Linked DNA regions of Sus scrofa. The protein of the gene in region 2 purifies or fractionates together with the protein of the main gene of each other region. This does not show direct contact. Links are inferred from orthologs where the notes say so. Each region holds a gene or a part of one and is shown on either strand. Other genes may lie near its edges. The genes, in order: PSMA7 and PSME4.

Region 1 (4,362 bases), on a different chromosome or scaffold from region 2:
CCACATCACCTCGTAAGAAGAAAATTTCAGGTACCACTAGGCGAAGGATGGGAAGTTACACGAGGCAGGCGAGGACCACCCCGTGAGGCTGCTGCTGAACCCCCGTGACGCACCCGCAGCAGGACACTAACTGGTGACGGCCCCGTGACGGGAGCCGACCCAGGGCAGGCGGCGCCTACCTGCTTCAGGCTGGCGATGTAGCGGGTGATGTACTCCACAGTGACCGGGTCCTCCACGGTCAGCCGGTGGCTCTGGCACTCCACCCGCGCCCTGTTGATGACTATCCGTGCGTCCGCGGTGAGGCCTGCGGTGACCGGAGAGCTAGCCTGAGCCCCACCTTCCAGTCAGTGGTCCAAACCAGCACGGCATGGACGGCACAACCTCTGGCGGCTTCTAAGACCGGCTCCCGGTTCCCAGCGCGGCGCCTGAGTGACTGGCGGCGGAAGCAGCAGCCCCCACGCGCTTCTCTGAGAAAGCTGGGCGGGCGACCAGCACGCGTCCCGGGACAAAGCAAGTCAACCTCTGGATTGGGTAAACCGGGCGCTCCCTGCCGAGGAGGGAGATGAGCGAGGAGGGAGATGAGCGGAACCACAGGAGCTGACCGCACCTGACAGCAGAGCGCCGGACGGCCCCACCTTTCCCACGGCGACATGCCGCTGAAAGCACGGGGCCACCGCACAGCCCCTCACCCCGGGCGTCTGCTGAGAGCCTGTGCGTCAGCCACCGGAGAGGGACCCTCCTGCCCAAGAAGCAGGCCGCACCTGTTTCTTGGAAACGGTCTGTTCCCCGGCGTGGGCGTCCCCGGCAGCGCTTCCCCGGGTGACCCTCGTAGGAGGCAGGAGGAGAGCCCCGGCCCCAGGCTCACCCGCGAACGCCATGCAGACGTTGTCGTCCAGGGCGCAGATCTTCCGCACGGTCCGCTCGTCCTGCAGCCTGGCCACCGACTTCTTCTCCACGCCGAGGACGACGATGTCCCTTCCGCGGACGCCAACCTTCAACGGGCATCACCGTGGCACTTAAACGTGTGACGCGATCCCAGCCCAGAGCACGAAGAGCGGCTGTTGCCGCGGCCCCATGACCACTGGGGCAGGGGGCACGCACAGCCTGCAAACCGTGGGGCTGGACCCGCTTATGCACAACTACCTCAGGCGTCGCCAGCCAGGTGCCCACTCTTGGCCTTAGGCTTCAGTTTCAGTTCAACTGAAAACCACCACCGTGTGTGACCCACGTGTATGTGCCCCTTCAACCCCATGATTCGGAATTCGGCGTAAAGCCTTTAGGCCTGAGTCCTTAACACAGAAATAGCTGTCCTGAAAGCAGTGTTGCGTGGCTGTGAAGTCACACCCAAACCCTCCCCGCTCCCGCACTTCGGTAACCTGTGTGCACGGCAGTGGGCAAGTGCCTGATGTGACCAGGTGGACGTGTCAGCTACCCCCGGGAGGCCACTGGCTGTTTCTGGCTGTCGCTTCGCAGGTAGAAGGATGTCTTACGCACATGGGGAAAAAAATCACGATTGCCTGTCGACAGCCCTCAATGGGAACAGCAGCCGCTGCGCATGAAACGGTCACTGGGCAGAGCGACATCCGCCCGAGCCCAGAGCAGGGCTTCTGAGCCTCAGGACTGTGGGCACCGGGCCCGCCAATTCTTGGATGTGAGGGCGGCCCGGCTCACTGAAGGATGCTTACCGTCCGCCCGGCCTCTGCCCGGCCTCTGCCTCTAGAAGTCTCCTGGCCGTTGCCAAACGCCCCCTGGGCTGCAGAGAAGCCCTGGTCGGCTGTGTTTCCAAGTTTCAAGCAACTTTCCTACAAACTGACCTGGTCTTTAAAGCTCCCAAAGACAAGAAGGCCCTGCTCAGAGGCGCTGGTTAAAGAAAGGTAGCCTGCCGGCGGGCCCCACATGCAATGGGGGCGGGGGGAGACAGGTGCCAGGCGACTCCCCCACTAGTCTCTAAGCTGAAATAGGTCGCAAGGTGGATTTGGAGCCCCCATTGCAGAAGAGGTTCAAGAGATGAAAATACTTCCAAGATTCACAGAATCGTGTGTTTTCTCTCTGGCCAAACCTCTGACACACCAAATAATAAAATAAAAACCATCGTACAGTTTAGCCAATAAGCAAACTGCCAAGCGTACTGAAGGCACCATTGCATTTACGTTTCAAACCGCGGCCTAAACGACAGCCGCGCTCAGGTGCGAGGGGACGAGGGGGGCGGTCACACCCGGAGGGGCCTGCCAGCTGCGCCGGGCTGCCCGGGGACGGCAGGGCTGCTGCTGAGCCCGGCGGCCGCCCTTTGTCCTCGAAGCCGGCCCACTGCTTTCCCGGTCGGGGAAGCCCCCTCACTGGGAGCGGTCCGCATGCCGTTCGCGCAAATCATTTGGTGCCTTAAGGCGCGTTCCGGGTAAGGGGCTGGCCCGCCGCTCGGAGCCCCCCCCCCCCGCCCAGCCGCGGCCCCCGAACCCCCAAAATGGCGCCGCCGGCAGGCGCGCTCGGCTCCGGACACCGGAGGAGCCCCAAGGCCTGCGGTCTGCAGGCCACGGTCCGCAGCGCCCCTTCCCGAAGCAAGCCCCACGTGACGGCTGCCGTGCGCCCCCCCGCCCCTGTGCTACCCGAGCCCGAAGCACTCGGCGCCGGTCAGCGCGGCCTCCCCAGCCGCCCGGGCCCTGCCCATCCCCGGACGTGCAGGCCCCGCGGGGCCGCCGCTCACCGCAGTCGAGCCCTTCTTCACGGCCTCCTGCGCGTACTCCACTTGGAAGAGGTGGCCGTCGGGCGAAAAGACGGTGATGGCGCGGTCGTAGCTCATGCCGGCGGGGCGACGCGGCCGGACCCGGGAAAAGCGCACACTCACGGCCCGCGCAGCCCGCGATTCACGACGTCGCTGCGCCCGCGCCCGCGCCGCGCGCCCGTCCGCCCCCGGCGCCGCCGACTGCGCTGCTGGCGTAAGGCGGGCGTAAGGCGGCGTCGGGCGACGTGCGCGCGCCGGGGCGGGGCCGGGCCGAACCACCGACGGCCGGGCGCGGGGGGCGGTGCGGCGGCGGCGGCGGTGGCGGCGGCGGCGGGCCCGGCGCGGAGCGCGAGGCGGCCGCCCGGGGGCGCCGCGCGGAGCTCGGTCTCAGGCTGCGGCGGCGCGCGGAGCGGCGAGGCGGCGGGTCCGGAGGCAACGCGGCGACGGAGGGGCGGGCGAGTCCACGGCGCAGCACCCCCCGCGCCCCCCGCCCCCCAGCGACTGCGGAGAATGAGCGCCTCTGGCCGCCGAGCGCAGCCGGAGAATAAACCCCGATGATCTCGGGCTGATCCTGCGCCCGCGACCATGTCGGTGGCCTTCGCGTCCGCCCGGCCGAGAGGCAAAGGGGAGGTCACGCAGCAAACCATCCAGAAGGTGGGCTGGGGGCCGCGGTCCCGGGCTGGGGGCCACGGGGTGCGGGCGGGCGCTGGGCCGGGTCGAGGGCAGCCGGCGGGCGCGGGGCGCGAACAAAGCCGGGGCGCAGCCGACCGCCGCGACCCCGCTGGGGCCCCGCGCGCGCTCTGTGGCCAGCGTGCGCCAATGTGGGCGGGGGTGCGCGGGGGCGGTGGGTTGGGGCTCAAGGCGGCGCGTGGGGTGGTGTCCTCGGAGCCCAGCCCGGAACGACCCCGGGCCTCACCGGCCACAGTGGGGACGCGCCGTCTTCTGGGCCCGGGGCCGCGGGGCAGGAGCGCAGGGCGGCAGGACCGGGTGCCCGCAGGGTGGTGTCCAAGGGATGTTGTCTGCAGGGTGATGTCCGCAGAGCCAAGCCAGGGACGACCCCGGGCCCCGCCGGGGACAGTGGAGACCCGTCGCCTTCGGGGCCGGGGTGCGGGTGCACGGCGTCCGGACCGGGCGTCCGCAGGGTGGTGTCTGCGAGCCGCCCGGTGCGCCGAGGGGACCCTCCTGACTGGGAAAGTGGTGACGCTGCGCCGTGGGCGGCCCCCCGCCCCCGCGCGCAGTTTGGCTGGTGGAGGGCGCACGGGGCACATGGGGCGACGGGGATCCGTCCCAGCCGCCGGCCCCGCCTGCCATTTAGGTGCTGGCATTACGAGGCACAAAGAGGTGCATCCAGAGTGAGGGCGCCGGTCTTGCAGCCCCGCAGCCCTTTAAGGAGCGCTCCACGCCTCGGGGCCGGCTGGCCGGCCGCTCTTATTGGAGTGTCACGCTGCTTTTCAGCCTTGACACTTCGCCAGCCTCTTCACCTAACAAAACTTTACAGACTGGTTTTACAGCCTTGCCTGCGTGCTATAAGTTTGGCCTCGTGGTTTCCTAGACATAACCTTCACGTGGGTTTGGGGACATTTTAATACAAGTCTTAGGTTTTGAAATGGAAATTTAAAATTTTTACTGCTTCTGTTTAGAAG
Region 2 (3,806 bases):
GTTCCCAGGCTAGGGGTCTAATTGGAGCTGTAGCCACCGGCCTACGCCAGAGCCACAGCAATGAGGGATCCCAGCCTCAGTCTGCGACCTACACCACAGCCCACGGCAATGCCGGATCGTTAACCCACTGAGCAAGGCCAGGGATCGAACCCGAAACCTCATGGTTCCTAGTCGGATTCGTTAACCACTGAGCCACGACGGGAATTCCAACTTTTGTTTTTCTAAAAGAAAAAAAACAAAGAAAAACCTTCAAAGAAAGGCAAAGGTAGCCATGCCACTTCTAACAGGACAAAATTACAACTGAAAGAGTGCCAAAAAATGTCATGTACTATCAGTTTTGTCAACTTAATATTAATCTTGGCTAAGATCAGAATATGCTATTATTAAATTTATTCAAAAACTGAGAACTAAAGGAAAATGTGATGTATAACTATATTTGTATGTACAAGCTTTGTTCCTCCTGCTAAAAATTTATCTCACTACATAATTAATCAGCTGGAAACCACTGAAACAAGGCAAAATAAATGGGAAGGAAAGAAACACCAAAATATTTGAGTTCAAAATTTAACTTGTAAACCACTGAAGCCTATTCCATCCTCCTCCCCCGACGCACCCTTTAGAGCTAAGTCTCCTGTCCTAAAAGCATCAAGGGACCTGCCACTGACTATCAGTGCCTGCTACCACATGAGGGTCAAGTAAGCACGGAACAGTGAGGGAGAGCTGAAGACAGGAGAAGCTGCCTAACTTCCTCATTCTATTTCCCAATTAAGTTATATGTTCTAAAAGTTTCAGAGCCCCAAGCCATGTACATAAAAAAAAAAAAAAAAAAAAAAAAAAAAAGGAGAGGCTGGGAAATGAAGTGCAACTTAAATATTCACGGTGAAGAAAACAGGGCAAAATAGCACAAGTAACTCAAATTACTAATGATGGAGCCCCATTTTGGTGAAGGTCTTTTAACAGGATACCCTTCTCCAGGTAAATGTCACCGATTTAACCATTTCAACAGTGAGTTGGAAAATAGGCTGTCACCTGCATCTGACAGTAAGGATCTTGGACAGAGCTGAATTTTATGAAACTCAAACTGTTACATCCTTCTAGGCTCCAAAAACTAACATTCTTCCTCTACCTTTGACAAAGACATTTAGAGAGGAACCGTTAAGGTGAAGTTCAGGCAGCAAAGGAATGAGTGGCACAAAGCTTAAGCAATTTGCTCCTAAACACACAAAATAACTACTAGTGGGTCTCTCTTGGGAAACACACTAGGCCTATATTGTGACAGTGATGAGGCAAACAGAGAACTATTTTTGTAGTTTCAACATACAAAACAAAATGAATGCAGTAAAATCTACACTACAGAAATAACACATAAAATGTTATACAATACACGAAAATAATAAACATAACCAAATTTTCTTTTCCATCACTGATTCTAAGACATAACAGAAATCCAAAATCACTTTTACTGCCAATGTCCTCAATATTTAGTGGCATTCACATTTTATGAAAAAATAGCGAGAGTTTTACTTATGGGCAAAACCAACTAAAATGTGCACATATTTTGAAATGCTTATTTTATCCATTTCATGGCAATCTTCTTTTCTCTCCAATAAACTTTTATGAAGTTATCAATCATTAGGTTAAAATGTCTTACTTCTCCTCTAAGGACAGGAATAAGCACCAAGATAGCAGAACAGTAGCCACAGAAAAGAAAAGAAAAATAAACAGAAGAGTGGAGGAAAGAGATAACCAGCATCAACAGTAGTCATGGCTGAGGCTTCAATGAAACATTTAAGACACACTTACCTTTCAAGTACAGGGGGTATTACTAACTCAGGTCTCATGAGTGCAAGATTCTGCAGAGCCTGGGCTGCTTCTAAACTACCAGTTTTGCTAAACATAGCCAAGAGGACAGGCTGAATAATGCATTGTACAAAGTCTGTAACATCTTGATCAGAAAGCTTATGGCTATCAGGCACTGGAGTTAACCAAGAAGGCTTCTTGTATCTTTCACGATGTAATCTTCTAACAACACTGCTTGGCAACCGCTGAAGTAGTTTCATTAACTTGTTCTGGGGACACAGAAGCAGAAGGTCCTAGGTAGGTTCTGCTACAGATATTCATAGTTCCTCTTTATCCTCCCAAGGAAAGATTTTTAAATAGCAGACTATAATCTTATTACAAAGACCTGAACAGCCTAATTAGATAGAATAAAATACTCTTACCAAGTAACCATTCACAATAATAAACATCTATTCCTAATTTCAGTTTTAATTTCTAGCTCTAGCACCACATGAATCCTCCATAACATGACAAGCCATTTTAACCATCCAACATAAAAAAAAAAATCAAACACAAAAAAACTGAAAAGACGATTCCATGGTTTTATGGCATTTTGTCACCAGTTACCACACTAGTATTCTTTATTTCTGTATTTTCTATGAAAACAGTAACCAATGTGAACTTAAATCACTGACCTACAGCCAAAGCTTATATAAAAGACAGAAAATGTGCATAGGTTACATAATAGAGAATAGTTACATGTGACTATTATCTTTTAAAAATTCCAAACCTTAAGAGTAAAATATGAACTTACCAGCCAGCGGCCATTATTGGAAGGATGGTAAAAAGATGTGATGCTGTTAAATAAACCGGCCAAGTGTTTTTGCACTAGCTTACTTGGTCCACCCTGATCAGATCAAAGAGCAAAAATATCAGTACCCACAATATTCTGTAAAACTGAAGTTAATAGGCCCAGACCTACATATGAATCTCTAATGTGACTCATAGTCATCCTGTGGGCAAAAGTCAATTCTACCTCTAAACAAAAGTCAAAAACACTTCCCAGATGAACTGCATACAAATCAAGACAGTCTACTAAAAATAAGGGCAACTTACTAAAACAAATCAGAAAAACAGAAAAAGACATCTTTCAGTTTAGAGTAACAGTATCATTTACTCTTTGTGGTCAAATAAGTAAATCTTATTAATCTAGTGAATCTTAGTAATCTTTTATCACTAAGATTATGACCTTAATATAACCAAGGGTGGTAACATCAGGCATAAAAAGCATTCCTTAAATGAAGAATCTCTTACTGCAAGAAATAAAGAGGTGAGATGTACATAAATGCATTCAAATATTTTATTATTACTTCTAAATGGTTCAAGTGATTAAATCTGTTATATTTGACCATATTTTGACTCAAAAGAAAAAAAATTTTTTTCTTAATTTATTTCCAAAACAAACATAAAACAACCAACCAAACAACAATATAATTGGAGAAGGAAAAATGAGAAAAAAGATAGCATTTATCTAATCAAGCCGAACAATTCTGGGAATAAAGGATTACAACTTGGCCTTGAAACTTCTCTCAAGATGATCTTTCAAGGAACAGCACAGATTCATAATGCATGCAAATGTCAAATCACTATGTAATATACCTGAAACTAATATAGTATTATAGGTTAACTATATTTCAATTAAAAAAGAATCAGGGAGTTCCCATCATGGCTCAGGGGAAACGAATCTGAGTAGGATTCATGAGGACACAGGTTTGATCCCTGGCCTTAGTTAGTGGGTTAAGGATACGGCCTTGCCAAGAGCTGTGGTGTAGGTTGCAGAGGTGGCTCAGATCTCATGTTGCTTTTGCTGTGGTGTAGGCCAGTGGCTTCAGCTAAGATTTGACCCCTAGCCTGGGGACCTCTATATGCTGTGGGTGTGGCCCTACAAAGACAAAAAAAAAAGAATCAGGAGTTCCTGTTCTGGCTCAGCAGTAACGAGTCCAACTAGGATCCCTGAGGACACAGGT

What was found.
Region 1: the proteins of PSME4 (region 2) and PSMA7 purify together in Homo sapiens (affinity purification with mass spectrometry; 4 studies listed by BioGRID and IntAct, with this or other methods). This does not show direct contact. The link is inferred for Sus scrofa from reciprocal best matches to the Homo sapiens genes PSME4 and PSMA7.

What each region holds. Positions count from the first base shown.
Region 1 is NC_010459.5:61,568,569-61,572,930, forward strand, and holds the start of PSMA7 (proteasome subunit alpha type-7), read right to left. Parts: upstream 2,949-4,362; 5' UTR 2,798-2,948; coding exon 2,702-2,797; intron 993-2,701; coding exon 866-992; intron 305-865; coding exon 180-304; intron 1-179. Other genes in the region: SS18L1 (calcium-responsive transactivator), read left to right, coding at 3,305-3,373.
Region 2 is NC_010445.4:87,276,271-87,280,076, reverse strand, and holds part of PSME4 (proteasome activator complex subunit 4), read right to left. Parts: intron 2,687-3,806; coding exon 2,594-2,686; intron 2,070-2,593; coding exon 1,804-2,069; intron 1-1,803. UniProt on the Homo sapiens protein: Associated component of the proteasome that specifically recognizes acetylated histones and promotes ATP- and ubiquitin-independent degradation of core histones during spermatogenesis and DNA damage response.